5 linked regions of the Kluyveromyces lactis genome follow. The protein of the gene in region 5 interacts with the protein of the main gene of each other region in a pairwise test. Links are inferred from orthologs where the notes say so. Each region holds a gene or a part of one and is shown on either strand. Other genes may lie near its edges.

Region 1 (2,573 bases), on a different chromosome or scaffold from region 5:
TGCTAGAATGAACGCAAAGGATTCTAATAGAAAGAGTTGTAATGATCAGGATATCATGGCTGCTTTAGATACGTTGGGGCTAGGTGCTTTGGAGAGCATACTCACGGGAAAGATGCAGGAGTACCAGGAAGCCATACTTTGGAAGAAGCAAAATAAAGTCAATAATGCTGTGCCTGGTGCGGACGGAGACATAGCAATGGAAGATGATGAAGATGATGAAGATGACGATGGCAGAGAAGGCGCAGATGCTGACGCCGAGCCTAAATCCAGAGCTGATACTGAGGTTCAACAAGGTAACGCTGAAAATGATAAATTAGATGGGCCTCCAGTCAACCAAGAACAAGTACCTAGCACGCGCCAGAACGACCTGGATTTAAGCACAAAAAAACAGAAGACGGAATGATCGTATAATCGATTTGTGGAGAAGAGGTGGCAAGAAGTATAAGTACTATAAACAATTATACCGTTTTCGTGTGCTCATGGGTTACCTATACTTAAAAAAAATAGAACTAATGTAGTAATAATAACGACACAATCACAATAATCGCCAGTACAACTATAATGACAATGGAATAAAACTTAACGTTATTCCACCACATTTTTCTCATAATCTTAGAGGATTTCCTTTGAAATTTAAAACTATTTTCGTTCAATTGATTAGTATTATCCACAAGCAGGGATATCCTTTCCTGTCTCTGTAAAAACTTATCGATATTATCATTCATTATTGCAATAATGTTTTGTAGCTCTTCCTCAGTGGATGCAGCTGTCTGCTGTCCTTCCGTGCGATAAGATAATAATTCTTCATGGAATTTGTCCAATTGATTATCGATATTACTCTTCAAATATTCATCGTTGTCATTATTCAAACATTTTAGTTCTGATAATAACCTCAACGGTAGGAATTTGGGGACTTCTTCTTTAACAAAACAAATGAGCACTTTATTGTTCTCTGCAGTTGTATAATAGCAATCATACCCCTCTATAAGGTCGATAGACGTCTTTGTAACTTTGTTTCCCGGAAGATTCACCACTGTTCGTATTACCATATCGCCGATTAACCTGTGAAACACTGCTTTTTGATCGGCTCTCCCTTTATCAGTGCTTCCATATTTACTATTGTTTTCGTCCTTGGAGTCGTACCAGCTAGAAAGAACTCGATCTCCATCCCAAACTTCAACATATGACACACTATACCGCTTCATTGTTGTAATAATTCACCACTACTAACAGGCAATTAATCCTGAGAGTCCTTTCACAGTTTCCTTGCAACCCTTCTACCAGATGTAGCTGGTAAACATGGAAATTTGTCAGTTTTCATATTTTCAACATTCTCCAAAGGATATCATAACAGAATCAGAACCGAGACAAAATCTCTACCTCCGGCAGAAAGAAGAAAAAATGTCAGCTGAAGCCTACGGTATAGTTGTGATAACTTAATAGTCTTCTCATTTTTGATTGAAGCTGCTGATACCTAATTCACTTTTGAAGTACAGAATTATTCATATTTATATCTATTTGACATGTCTATAAATCTATCAAAGATAATGTCGATAATGACATATTCCAATGACAAATATGTATGCGTAAGTTCCTTTGTGATATTAGTATAATTGAACTATACTTACCCTCGATAACTTATGGTACAAAGGTTGGAATTTGTACGCAGGACTTAGAATCTTCTGGCCATTTGAGATACCCACTTTCCAAAAGTTCATCCAGAGTTTTGGCCTTTGTACCGGTAGCTTTGTAATAAGCGACATATCCTTCTTTTATAGCGTTGATGGCTGACCTAGCTCTAATCTGATCTCCTTTCCATTCAACACCAAAATAACCACCATTACCAGCATGTCTAATCTCACGATTTAATCGTTGAGAGTATTGGACGTCCCATGGGAATGCCAAATCATGATACTTACTTCCATCGCCACTTTTCTCGATGAACCAATCATGGTACTTCTGTTGAAGTTCCTCCGATGGAAGTTGGATTCTTCCTGACCATACTCTGCTCAACCAAGCACCTTGGGTCTCGGATAGTCTTGTAGGAAGAACAAACCTTGGTAGGCCAATAATACCGAATGTTGGCAATGATATTGGAAGAATATGGTTGTACAGGTTTTGTACTCGTCTACCATCACCAATTAAGTTGTTGAGAATGGAATTTCCGACACCAGATTCATTCTGTGGTAAAAATGGTAGGGACTTTAAGTAACCAGTACAGAAAATCACTTTTTCCACATTCTTTAATTCGGTGCCGTCAACGAAGGTAATCGATTTTGTTGACGGATTAAACTCTCTAATATCAGGCACATCTTTAATGAAAGGATCGAATGGGGCCGGTAATTTGGATTCGGATCTCTTCGACTTATAAATAGGCTTCTGTAGTTCGTTAGCCAATTCAAATGCTAAGTCTGCACCAGAAGCACTGTTACCAACAATCAAAATCTCCCCTTCTACACCATGGAAATCTTCTGGACAGTCAAAATCCTTGGCATGGGAAACGGAGCATGGGTATTTCACGTTCCATTCTTTTAAACCTGGTCTTGAAGGAATAAATGGTAGATCATAAAATC
Region 2 (4,073 bases), about 1.9 Mb from region 5:
CATTTCTTAATTTGAACAGACAAAAAAAAACTATGTACTGACCACTAACTAGAACCATCAGATGTTGATGTCATTGTTAAGAAGGATGCAAATGTATCAAAAAGTTGTATTAATTGTAATATATATGTTTAATATACAGAGGTCGTAAAAAAAAAATCTACCTGTCGATCACTTGAATCAATGAACGTGCAGTAAATCTTTTCTTTGCTATGCAAACCCCCCACAAAGCGGTTAACTCCTTAAACGATTGATATAAAGAATAAGAAAAGGAAATCACGAAATGTGCAAATCCTTCTTAAATCAACAAAGTTTCAATCTTGTCCTTAACGGCATAGATTTGGCTTTTGATAGCAGAAGCATCGTTAGTGGTAATAGAAGCAGCAATAACTGGTCTGGAAACACCACAAGCTCTACCCAAAGCAGTTCTGGATGGAACAAAGACGTATGGAACGTTCTTATCTTCACACAACAATGGCAAGTGCAACAAGATTTCAATAGGTTCACAGTCAGCAGCCATGATAATGAATTCGGAAATACCACGGTTCAAAGTCTTGGTAGCTTCGTTAGCACCCTTCTTCAATTGTCTCATGTTGGAAGCTTGTTGAACAACATCCAAGATTTGTTGGGACAAGGTGGCATCAGCCAATGGGAAAGCCTTTGGGTTTGGAGCAGACATTATTTCTTTATAATATGAAGTGAAGTATCCGATTGGGTCAGTTCAAGTTCCTTGCAAGAATGAAAAGCTCGCTTGAATCTGGTGTTTTAAGACTAGAAATAAGATCGGATCAAGTCCAAGTCTAAAAAAAGTTTTATCATAAAGTGAGATGAGATGGAACGAGATGAGATGAGGTTAGTCTCTTGAAATCATTTTCTTTAGTTTTTCAATTTTTGAAAATTTTCGAATTCCTCGACTGATGAGCAAAAAGAAACAAATGGGATCACAAACTGGTGTAATGTACGGCTGTTTCACTATATTAATTCAGAAGAACGATATACATTCCTCCTATTGTGATCATTTGGCCATTCTCCGCCATTGCTATAGTACTCTATTATGGTCTAAAACACGCAGTCTGTAGTTGTTGTTCCCCATCGTATGCTTCATACTTCCCCAGGAAGAGCTGCTTTCACTCTCAGTTCTTTACCTAATTTCAAAGGTGCATATTTCTTTGTATTGAAAAATGTACGTATTACAATATGTAAATTTATCAACTCATTTATGAATAAACTCATAGTATTGCCCTTGACTTAGGTATGACCCAATTGATGAGCAATAGCTAGCTATGACTGACCAAGAGGTAAATGAGGAGCAGGCTCTGCGAAATATACCAGAAGTCGGTAATTTCGATAAGTTCACTTCTGTGGATTGGATTGAGGAAGAGAAGCGTGAATTGTCCAAGGGAACATCGCATGACGAATTTGATATACCGCGTTCGAGTTGGTATGAGTACCGCAGGTTAATATGGAAAAGAGGTAGCAGTTTCATTACTTTGACTGCCATTGGGCTTTCCATTGGCGGTATTGCTGGTTTTTTACAAATATTCACTGAATTGTTAGTAAACTGGAAATCTGGACATTGTGCTAGAAATTGGTTGTTAAACAAGGCATTCTGCTGTCCTAAAGAAGAGATCAGTAAAAGGAGTTATGGTTCCATAATAAGTTCGGCTGGCAATGCCGCAGAAATATTCTTTAAAAGATCCCAAAGCGAATGTATCGAAAAAGGTATTTGGGTAGAAGCAACCAATCCAATCTTTTCATTTTTGCTATTCATGTTCTTATCGGTCACATTTGCAACTATTAGTTGTCTGATGGTCCTACACATTGCACCGTTTGCCACTGGATCTGGTATTTCAGAAATTAAATCCTGGGTATCAGGTTTCCAATATACCCCGGAGTTTTTGAATTTGAAGACCCTTATAGTAAAATCTGTCGCTTTACCGCTTGCCATTTCTTCTGATTTAAGTGTTGGTAAAGAGGGACCATCTGTTCACTATGCTACCTGTTGTGGTTATGTAATTACTAATTGGCTCTTGAGCAAGGAGATGGCCTTCCCAGAACAATCCGAATACTTGACAGCTTCGACGGCAGGTGGTGTTGCAGTAGCTTTTGGTGCACCTATTGGAGGTGTCTTATTTGCACTTGAAGAGATGTCAGCTTCTATTCCTTTCAAGTTATCTGCCTTGTGGAAGTCGTATTATATTGCTCTGGCAGGTATTTCTGCTCTACAATATATTGATCCATCTAGAAATGGTAAGATCGTTGTTTTTGAAGTCACCTATGATAGAGAATGGCATGTGGAAGAAATCCCAATATTCATCCTTCTTGGAATTTTTGGTGGTTTATATGGCAAATACATAAGCAGATGGAATGTGCATTACGTTTCTTTTAGAAAGAAATATCTCTCAAGATGGCCGTTACAGGAAGTTGTCATACTAACGTTTGTTACTGCCATTATCTCTTATTTCAACGAGTTCTTGAAACTTGACATGACAGAATCTATGGAAATTTTATTTCATGAGTGTCAAACTAATGAGAAAGGATCATTATGGTCGCATAGACTTTGTACAATTGACAACGAGGCCTCATTCATCTCGTTCATCAATTTATTGCTTTCGTTACTCTTTGCAACTGTAGTGCGAGCCCTGCTAATCGTTGCTTCGTACGGCTGTAGAGTACCTGCCGGAATTTTTGTTCCCTCAATGGCTGTTGGTGCAACTTTTGGAAGGGCTGTAAGTTTAATAGTAGAGCGTTATATTACTGGACCAAATGTCATTACACCGGGAACTTATGCTTTCCTTGGTGCAACTGCAGCATTAAGTGGTATAACAAATCTAACTCTAACAGTGGTGGTGATCATGTTTGAGGTCACGGGTGCATTTACGTATATTCTTCCTACCATGGTAGTTGTTGCTTTCACTAGAATTATCTGTTCCTCCTTTGGTGCCGAGGGAGGAATTGCTGACCAAATGATTATAGTTAATGGATTCCCATTGATGGAAGAGCAGAAAGGGGATCACGAATTCATGGATGACTTTTATGCAGATGACATCATGACGAAAGAACTAGTCTACGTGAATGAAAAAATGACTCGTCAAGATCTGCAAAATTTGATAGATGGACCAGCAGCCGAATTTAGCGGTCTTCCGATCACCAGCAGCTGTTCCAAAGGTGATTCGACATGCTCTGGCTTTATATTAACAAAGTACGCTCGCTATTTCTTAGATGCCACTACTGGATCTCCCGACGATATCATTGATTTCAGAAAATGTGGAGATGAATCGTTAACATCAAAAATCAATTATACCCCGATTACTGTTAGTCCGTCTACTCCGTTGAGTATACTTTTCATGATGTTCCAGAAATTGGGCTGCTCAACTATTATAGTAGAGAATGGCGGAACCATGGCCGGATTAGTCACTAAGAAAGATGTCTTGCATTTCATGAGAATTAAACATAAAGAATACTTTGGTCCTCTATATGCGTTTGATGATAGAATTGATAGGAAGGCAATACGACTAATTGAATGGTATATAGATAAATGTAGAAGAACATAACTTTATAAAATGATTAGGACTTTTCAATCATCATGCCATTTGCCACTTTTCAATCATCATGCCATTTGCCACTTTTCTTGTAGTCCGCATGTAATGTCTTGAAATATGATCTGCCGTTACTGTCCAAGCTAGCATTAAGCAAGTTCATTTCAGTCTGCGACAGAAGATCAAAAATAGCGTATACTGCGAGCATCAACTCTTTCTTTATCGTGGTGGGATATGGTTTTGAAACTGATAATTTGATGAATTGTAGAAGAACAACTGGCAGATTCTTTCTTAGCGATCTTTTAACATTAGAAACAGCCGAGGACAATGTCGTCTGCTTACTGCTTCTCACATTTGCAGGCTCACAATAGTTACATATGAATCTTGATACTGCTTTCGCTGATTCAACCGATAGAGCGTATTGCTTAGCATCTGATAGTAACTCCAGTAATTGGCAGATAACAATGTTGATCAAATGAGTACGATTGGATAACTTATAACGATGAAATAATAGCAATGAAGAGAGCATATGTGTGC
Region 3 (2,759 bases), about 1.8 Mb from region 5:
GTGTGGTCTTCAGATTTCGAGAAATCTAATTCCAACGTCAGGCTATGCAGTGGTAGCGATGATGGGACCGTCAGAATATGGTGTCTCGAAGATGATAACGGAGAATACGAGCAAGAATGGATCCAAGAATCAATTCTACCGAAGGCTCATACAAGGGCAGTCTACAGTGTTAACTGGAGTCCTAAGGGGTATATTGCTAGTACCGGTTCTGACGGACGTCTAGTTATATACAAGGAATCGGAAGATGGCTGGATAGTTGAGTGCATTCACGAATTAACACACGGAGTTTATGAAACAAATATGGTGAAATGGGTAGAGTATGGCTCTAAAGATGTCATCTTATTGATAACTGCTGGTGACGACGGTCATGTTAACGTATGGAAATTCGATGAGAATTAGCTTCTTTGCCGGACTTTATCAATATCTGATTTGTAACCTAGTATAACCTGCATAAAAATTACATAAAATGGAGGCATCCATGACGCCTCATGAATACCATTCATTCAACTGAAAACAGCCAGTATTGTGAGAAGAAGGAAAAACAATAGTATGAAAAGGAAATGTAGTTTTAGCTTACTTGAACTGCGTCCGGATCTCATAGCGCGAGATAACTCATTTGCTGCATTTCTGGTATTATCTTCTACATTGTACAAATTAGCTTCAATGCTATCTACTAGCTGCCCTTGCTGTTGCACTAAACCACCTAAGTCCTTGAATATGCCATTTAATTCCGTTATACCTTGTTCTATGTTTGATATCTCTTGGTCTCGTTCCCTGATCAGATGTTGCTGGTATGCAAATTCCTCATTATTTATTGGTTCTCGCTCTATAACCACCTGTGTTCTTTTTGCGTGTTCATCTTCTTCCTCTCTTAAAACAGTATCCATCAAGGAATTATTTTGTTCTTCATCTTCCAAAGCCACTTTGGCCATGTCATTTATCCGCTTTGTAACTTCAAGAAAATGTTGTTGATATTTCTTGAATTCCTGTACAGAGAATTTCGCATCCCTAGTCAACTTCTCCCTTGTGATCAAATGAGGCTTATCCAAAGCCGACTCCTCTAACTCATTAACTTTATGAATATTCTCGTTTATCGATGATACTAATTTTGTACTTTTGTCTATTAGTTCAACCGTCTTCTTATTGATATTGTCGATAACTTTAGTGTTAGATTTACCGTGGGATACATTCGTTTCCAAAGCCGTTACAAAGTGGTTCATAGTTGAAAGGCTCCCGTTCAATTCAAATAAATCTTGAGATATAGCATCGCAGCAATCTTCGAACTCAGGACTATCCCTATATTGAAGAATTTCATTGGGTGAATCTGACATATTTCTATACTGTTCAAATGCAGGTTCACTTGAATTCACCTAAGCGGTAGCAGCAAAATGCGTATCAGATTCCTTCATTTCTGGACTAAGCTTGTAGAAGACTAACCTTTTATCTTCATTGTTCTAATTTTGTAATTGATGCAAGCCTTAAAAAAATATACCAAAAAACATTTATATGAGGAAAGATGAGAAGGATGCTTAATGAAGGTGCGCGTTAAGACCTTCAGTAGTATTTCACCAGATTACTTGAATATATTTAACACTAATCTAGGAATAAAGAATTATTGGGTCTTTTTTTCCTTTGTTACGTCCTTAGTTATTTGTGGCTTTGACGGTTTCTTGACCTTAACGGCTCCTAATTGTAGTAGAATAAATGCAATTGTCACGCCAATAATAAGCACTATGATGCCGTAGTGATTATCTATGAATTCCTGATCCAGTACTGTTAAGTACTTGTCATCTTCAGTATCAATTCTTGGTCTGTAAGGGACAAGTTTTGGCATTTCCTTAGCAACTCTATCATTACGGTCGATCTCAACCTTTCGTTGTGGATTCGTAAATATTTCAGGCCAGATATCATACGATAAAGATGTCTCGGTATCTGGCACTTCACTCTTTTCCAAAGACATATAAAAAACTGTATGTTTCGGGGTTGGTAACGTTCCCATAACATATCTCAAGTATTCATCATTGGCTTGCAACACATCTTTTCTGGTCCCGATGCCCTCTACGTATTGTCCTTGCTGCGGTAAAGGTGGGAAGTCTACCCTTAGAACTCTAGTTCGGGCCTCCACAAATGGTTGATACCTGTCTGTGACATTGCCACCTATATCTATTTTATCATCAATATTACATTTATCCATTGTATAGGCGATCAATTCTTCGTAAATATCATCGTTTTGGACTATATCAATCTTTTCGAATTTCACTGTCGTGGAACTAGTTAGCACATAGTTGTATAATTTGTGCATAGATTGCTTATGCTGCTTGAAATCACTTCGACTTAAACCTGGTTGGTTTACAAATACATATGTCTCCGAATGACACTGTGAGATCAAATCCTTGGCAACTTTCAAAAAATCATCTTGTGGTAGTTGTGCATTGTCATACTTATCTTGGTATTTTACTATCCCCGGCGCTCTGAAATTTCCGAATAACTGTTAGTATCATATGTCTTCAATGCACGGTTCCTTTAGCGTTTATACAAACCGCATGGAAGCTTGGAAGCTAATAACTCTTTAAAATCAACTTACAGATTGTACGAGAACAGTAGCCCTGGAACAGATTGTTGTCTTGCAGCTAACAACGGGGTCAGTAGTAAGGCAAATACTATTAATTCATTCATGGTCATGAAGCTGGGTTGCATTGCTATCCGTACATATTTAGCGTTTTTCCGAATACTATCGTAAGTAGTCTCTGTTGAGGAAG
Region 4 (3,002 bases), on a different chromosome or scaffold from region 5:
GGATACTACCACCCTCCGCCACTACCAGTACAGCAACAACAACCACAACAACCACAACCTCCGTATTCGGCTGGTCCGTCTGCATCAGATTTCTTATTACAATCAAACCCTGAATTCTCCATCGGAACTGGTCCAGCATCATACGGAAATAGCCAAAGGAGTGCAGGGCTAAACTCCGCACCAGCATCTTCAATGCACTATAAACCTGCTTATAGGAAAAGGCTCCCAAGAAAAAATAACCTACCTCTGCATCCATGTCAAGAGACAGTCCCTATGGAGCATTTTAAGTTCTGATTGTAATATTCATACTGAAACCACTCACTTTTTAAACAAATTTATTCTATTTACTGTAACAGATAATATATAGACCTCCTCTCTAGTTAACTTTTTTGAACCTTTCTACTGTTACCAATTCGACAGTGGTCGTTTACTTCTATCACGATATCAAAATTTGTTTTCGAAGTTCGATGCAGTTTCTCCATCATAAGCAAGTTCATTAATATTTGACCATTTTTATTCTACATTACTTTCTGGATCCAGCAACGGGTCTCCATTAGGAGAATTGACCTCCACTTGTGATCCAGGAGGTTTGTGAGATTTTGAAGGAGCTGATTCTCGTATAGTATGGTGATGAGGTTTCAGCATGACAAGGAGGAATAACGCTAGAACGACCAAAGATAGAAATAGAATAATTTTACATTTTTGACTCCGTTTTTGGTAGTGCGTTGCCTTGTCTAACTCCTTTTGGGCCTGCTTTAATTCAATAACCGTGTTTTCTAAGTTATAATCGATCCTATCGACCACTGTACCTTGATCTATGATCAAAGACTGCATTTCCCTGAAAATAGTACTAACTTCGAGTACACCTTTCGCTAACTGTGTAATTTCCTCATCTCTTTGTTGCAAAAATTGCTGATTGTTATCCTGTAACTTCTGATTCTGTTTTTGTAAAGTCTGCTTTGAATATGAGTCGATGTTATTGACTTCATCTCCTTCAACTTCTTCCTCCAACAACATCAATGTATCGTTACTTGATTTCGTAGTGGGTAGTGGTTTGAAATCATCTTTATTCAAAAACTTCAAATGATTATTCTGTAATATTCTGAACTTCTGCGATTTGTCTTGCACTTTCAAAGCGTAGTTCTTTTCTAGGTTATCCAATATCCTTAACTCGTCCTTGCTTAGCTGCTTACCATTCGAATATTGAGAATCCTTAATTCTCGTAAGAGTCTTGATAACACCAAAACATTCTTGGAATCTCTTAATTACCTGGAAACTTATCTGCTCAATCTCCTCCTCATCCTGCTTATTGTCCTGGAATCCTGGTAAAGAGTTCTTTTGATATAGTTTCGTCAACTGTAGCAACAATTGATCTACTGCAGATAACGACTCATCCACTTGGAACGTTAAATCGAAAAATTTTGGCGGTAATTGACGGGAGAAATCATCCATAGCAACCATATCTTCATCATTGTTACCATCGTCACTACCAATGAATGGCTGGTTCTCCAAATCTTTATTCGATCGTAGATGCTTGGTACTCGAAAGCCTCTGATGGGGGAAAGTTCTCCTATAGGATAAAAACAAATTAGTTCTATCACGAAACATGGTGCAGTTCAAAAGCAAACAAGGGAAGAAAGCACGCACTACCACTAATCTGATCTAAATAATCACTAGATCGAGCCACTCGACCAGTTGTTCTGCAGTTATTTACATACACTTGTAATTTGACACCTTAAAGTGTTGTTGAACTTTCGGTTCTCAGCTTAAAACCTTTAAAAAATGGAAAATTTGGCAAGCACAACGATAAGATGAGATGCGATGAGATGCATTGAAATAGAGGCTGCAACGGTAGGTCCAAGTGAAGTGTAACCGGGAGTTACTGTTGTTAAGAAAGGGAATCATCACATCAACAATGTCGTTCAACAGAGATGATGACTCGAAGTTGAAGTTTAAGACTTCAAAGAAGCTCAAGGTATCTGCCACTTTTGAGTCGATGAACTTGAAACCGGATTTGTTACGAGGCATATATTTTTACGGCTTTGAATATCCATCATCCATTCAGTCTAGAGCCATTTCTCAGATTATCTCAGGAAAAGATGTGATTGCCCAGGCACAGTCTGGTACCGGTAAGACGGCCACATTTACCATTGGATTATTACAAGCAATTGATTCTAAGAGCAAAGAGTTACAAGCATTGGTCTTATCACCAACAAGAGAACTAGCGAGTCAAAGTGAATCTGTGATATCTAACCTAGGAGACTATTTGAACGTTACAGCACATGCGTGCACAGGAGGTAAGGCCTTACAACAAGATATCAAGAAAGTATCGAAAAATTGTCAAGTGGTCAGTGGTACACCGGGCCGTGTACTAGATATGATCAAGAGACAAGTATTGAACGTTAGAAACTGTAAGATCTTAGTTCTCGATGAAGCAGATGAACTACTCGGAGAAACTTTGGGGTTTAAACAACAAATCTACGACATTTTCACCAAGTTACCACCGACGATTCAAGTCGTGGTGGTAAGTGCTACAATGAGTAAAGATATATTAGAGATCACCAAGAAGTTCATGAGTGACCCGGTGAAGATATTGGTTAAGCGGGATGAGATATCCTTGGACGTGATAAAGCAATATTATGTGGATGTAGAAAAGGAAGAATGGAAGTTTGATACACTCTGTGATCTATACGATTCGTTAACGATAACACAATGTGTGATATTCTGTAATACAAGGAAAAAAGTGGATTGGTTATCCAGGAAGTTGACACAGACGAATTTCTCTGTGTCCTCAATGCACGGTGACATGAAACAGGAAGAACGTGATCAAGTGATGAATGATTTCAGGAGTGGAAAAGCCAGGGTGCTAATATCGACAGACGTGTGGGCTCGTGGTATCGATGTCCAGCAGATCTCATTGGTGATAAACTACGATATACCAGATAATCTAGAGAACTATATCCATCGTATTGGTAGATCCGGACGGTTTGGACGTAAAGGTG
Region 5 (2,828 bases):
CTAAAAGCACAAAGAGAGGCCGATATCATGAATACGAGACTTAAATAGATATGACATACTCTATATGCCTCAAGTTATAAATGAGTTGCGAGTTTTATAAGTGATTTGAAGTTAATTCCCTGCGACTCAATGGTACATCAAATCCCAAGTGCATGAAACTCTTTAAAAATTCAGTTTTCCAAGAAATTTGCTTCAGTAGCTCAGTCGGAAGAGCGTCAGTCTCATAATCTGAAGGTCGAGAGTTCGAACCTCCCCTGGAGCATTTCAATTTACCAAAATTTTTTTAGCTTTCGGATCTTTTCGTTTACTATCACGAAGCCTGAAGTAATAATGTTTTCATGTTGCAACTAAAGTAGATGTTTAATGCTACATTATAGAGGCTAATTCGATGCAATGATTCAATTTAGAATCTGCTCTGCAATTATTTAGTGTACAAATAATAAAAAATTATAGATTGGCCGTGTAATGCTAGGTATCAATGATTCATATTTATCTTCCTTTCAGTCTTGTTGTTCCAATTCATAAATCACTTTGCTGTCTGCAACTGGATCGTATGGTTTTCTCAAGAATTGGGAGAATTTTTTCAAGTTGTTTAAACCTCTAATTTCACCTGCACACAATGGCATCTTAACGATATGGAAATCTTCGTACAATTCATCAATTTGGTCCAAATACTTCTTTTGCATCTTCCATCTGGATTGGCACCTTTTACAGCTGTCTCCTTCGTCATACTCAGCAAATAATAACTGGTTTACAATGATGGAGTTCACGTCCATATCGTATGAGATCAATTCCTGTACCAATCTTTCAGTTTCGTACAAAGACAAGAACTCACTGATACAAACACAGACAAAAGTTGTCATATCAGGATTGGTGAATTGTTCCTTGATTTTTTCCACATTAGACTTCAATTCACTCATTTTACCAACAAGATCGACGTTATTGGCACCAGCCAAAGAATTCAACATTGGTCCCAATCTTGCAGTGATTTCTCCGAATTTCTCCAAGAGTTTAGATAGAGTGCTTGGTAACTGTAAAAACCTTAGAGTGTGACCTGTTGGTGCGGTATCAAAAATAACGGTATCATACCTGTCACCTTCACCCTGTTCTTGGTTTTTGATGTGTTTCATCACTTCCATGAAAGAAAGTGCCTCATCAATACCTGGAATCGATCCTGTCAATTCAGATAGTGCACCACCTTGCAAAAGATCACTGAACTCTCCCGATCCAGTTGCATTATTGGCAACAGCCATATCATTCATATCCTTCAAAGCGGCAGAAGGGTCAATCTCCATACATGACAAGTTGTTCATCCCAGTGACTTTTCTTGCATCTTTACCAAACTTCTCACCGAAGGCGTCGCTTAAATTGTGTGCAGGATCTGTAGAAATCAATAGATATTGTTTCTCTGGTTGTGCCAAAGCCATTTGAATGGCAATCGAACAAGATGACGTCGTCTTACCGACACCACCCTTACCACCGACAAATATCCATCTGTGTGTTGAGGAAGTTATCAAAGAGTTTAGATCTGGTTCAACTGTTAAATCCATTGTACTTTTCCGCTTTACTTGGTCTCAGGTTTACACACTTACTGATTGTTATTCCTACAGTTGAAATAAGAGGGCGTCTTAGTTGTAAAACTTCTGTTTATCTACGCATGTCGCCACTAAAAGTGACAACAAATGCTAAATATCTTGCTGAAGACTTCTTCTACGTTCTTTTAAAGAACACGTCACTATATACGGTGGTGATAATAATTTGATATTTACCAATCGCATACCGAATAATAAAGAACATGGTACAAATACTTTGAGTTTGCTTCTCAAAAAGTCTTGAATCTTGTTCTCTTTCGAACCTAAATGGCTTTGAAACATTGTGAAATTAAACGATATTATTTGATCGATGTTTGCCTCAATGATGGTGATTCCTTTCTTATTAAATATGTGTGAACCATAACGACACGTTTAGATCAAAAAAAAAAGTTGCCCCATATGAAATAAGAATTTACATGGTGAATGCCAAATCTGAAACAATTGCGAGCTAAATATTAAAACCAATTGGCGTCTTCAATGCAAGTGAGTACACACATTCGAACAGTTGATTATGTCTGAACTATCCCCCGAGGAAGAAAGAGCCAGAAAGCTCGAAGAAGCCAAGATAAGGGTTGAAGAGTTAAAGAAGAAGAATAAAAACAAGAAGAATAAGAAGAAGAAGGACAAGGAAGATCTTGAAGCAGCTGAAGTCAAAACTGAAACTGAAACTGAATTGGAACCGACTGATACTAATGTATCAGAGAGTCCGGTTCATTCAGATGAACAACCAATCGTGGAAGAGACAAAAGCTGAAGAAAAGGCTGAGATAAATGCTGATGCAAAGGGCAATGACAACAACGAAGAGAAGTTTGAAAAGGAGTCTGTGGAGAAGTCTGAAAAAGAGTCTGCGGAGAACAAGAAAGACTCCGAGGAGGAAGTCCTCGAGAAGGAAGCAACTGATATACCCAACCCAACCGAGGAAGTGTCTAAAGAAGCTTTTGCAGTTCAACAAAAAGAGGAAGAACCAATAGAGGCAAAAAGTACAGATGAAGTTGAAGAATTGTTTGGCGGGAATGATGATAAAGAGAAAGATTTCCTTTCGACGATACAAGAACAGAAAAGCCAAGATGAAGTAATAAACCTCAAGGAAGAAGTTTCAAAGCTAAAAGATCAAGTAAAGCAATTGAAGTTTGTCAACATAGATCAAGAAAGCTCCATAGAAGAGCTTGAAGAACAGATAAACATCATGAAATCTCAACTCAATGATAAAACTGTACAATTGCTGTCCGCTCAGCA

Evidence for each region.
Region 1: the proteins of GET3 (region 5) and NYV1 interact in binary tests that used the Saccharomyces cerevisiae proteins (3 or more experiments, as listed by UniProt). The link is inferred for Kluyveromyces lactis from reciprocal best matches to the Saccharomyces cerevisiae genes GET3 and NYV1.
Region 2: the proteins of GET3 (region 5) and GEF1 interact in binary tests that used the Saccharomyces cerevisiae proteins (3 or more experiments, as listed by UniProt). The link is inferred for Kluyveromyces lactis from reciprocal best matches to the Saccharomyces cerevisiae genes GET3 and GEF1.
Region 3: the proteins of GET3 (region 5) and PEP12 interact in binary tests that used the Saccharomyces cerevisiae proteins (3 or more experiments, as listed by UniProt). The link is inferred for Kluyveromyces lactis from reciprocal best matches to the Saccharomyces cerevisiae genes GET3 and PEP12.
Region 4: the proteins of GET3 (region 5) and TLG2 interact in a two-hybrid assay, tested with the Saccharomyces cerevisiae proteins (2 studies listed by BioGRID). The link is inferred for Kluyveromyces lactis from reciprocal best matches to the Saccharomyces cerevisiae genes GET3 and TLG2.

Annotation. Positions count from the first base shown.
Region 1 is NC_006042.1:1,799,062-1,801,634, forward strand, and holds NYV1 (Nyv1p), read right to left. Parts: upstream 1,206-2,573; coding exon 510-1,205; downstream 1-509. Other genes in the region: DPB4 (DNA polymerase epsilon noncatalytic subunit), read left to right, coding at 1-403; KLLA0_F19470g (uncharacterized protein), read right to left, coding at 1,639-2,573. UniProt on the Saccharomyces cerevisiae protein: Vacuolar v-SNARE required for docking. Only involved in homotypic vacuole fusion.
Region 2 is NC_006041.1:2,006,765-2,010,837, reverse strand, and holds GEF1 (Gef1p), read left to right. Parts: upstream 1-1,280; coding exon 1,281-3,551; downstream 3,552-4,073. Other genes in the region: RNA binding protein SNU13, read right to left, coding at 296-676; ribosome biogenesis protein URB2, read right to left, coding at 3,601-4,073. UniProt on the Saccharomyces cerevisiae protein: Anion/proton exchange transporter involved in iron and copper cation homeostasis. Involved in intracellular iron metabolism during growth on fermentable and non fermentable carbon sources.
Region 3 is NC_006041.1:1,942,505-1,945,263, reverse strand, and holds PEP12 (SNAP receptor PEP12), read right to left. Parts: upstream 1,332-2,759; coding exon 504-1,331; downstream 1-503. Other genes in the region: iron-sulfur cluster assembly protein CIA1, read left to right, coding at 1-399; BIG1 (Big1p), read right to left, coding at 1,613-2,471. UniProt on the Saccharomyces cerevisiae protein: Plays a role in the sorting and targeting of vacuolar proteases.
Region 4 is NC_006037.1:927,169-930,170, reverse strand, and holds TLG2 (t-SNARE syntaxin TLG2), read right to left. Parts: upstream 1,609-3,002; coding exon 514-1,608; downstream 1-513. Other genes in the region: KLLA0_A10703g (uncharacterized protein), read left to right, coding at 1-294; ATP-dependent RNA helicase FAL1, read left to right, coding at 1,916-3,002. UniProt on the Saccharomyces cerevisiae protein: t-SNARE that functions in transport from the endosome to the late Golgi and on the endocytic pathway.
Region 5 is NC_006041.1:143,489-146,316, reverse strand, and holds GET3 (guanine nucleotide exchange factor GET3), read right to left. Parts: upstream 1,551-2,828; coding exon 501-1,550; downstream 1-500. Other genes in the region: ATG16 (Atg16p), read left to right, coding at 1-48; BUG1 (Bug1p), read left to right, coding at 2,104-2,828. UniProt on the Saccharomyces cerevisiae protein: ATPase required for the post-translational delivery of tail-anchored (TA) proteins to the endoplasmic reticulum. Recognizes and selectively binds the transmembrane domain of TA proteins in the cytosol.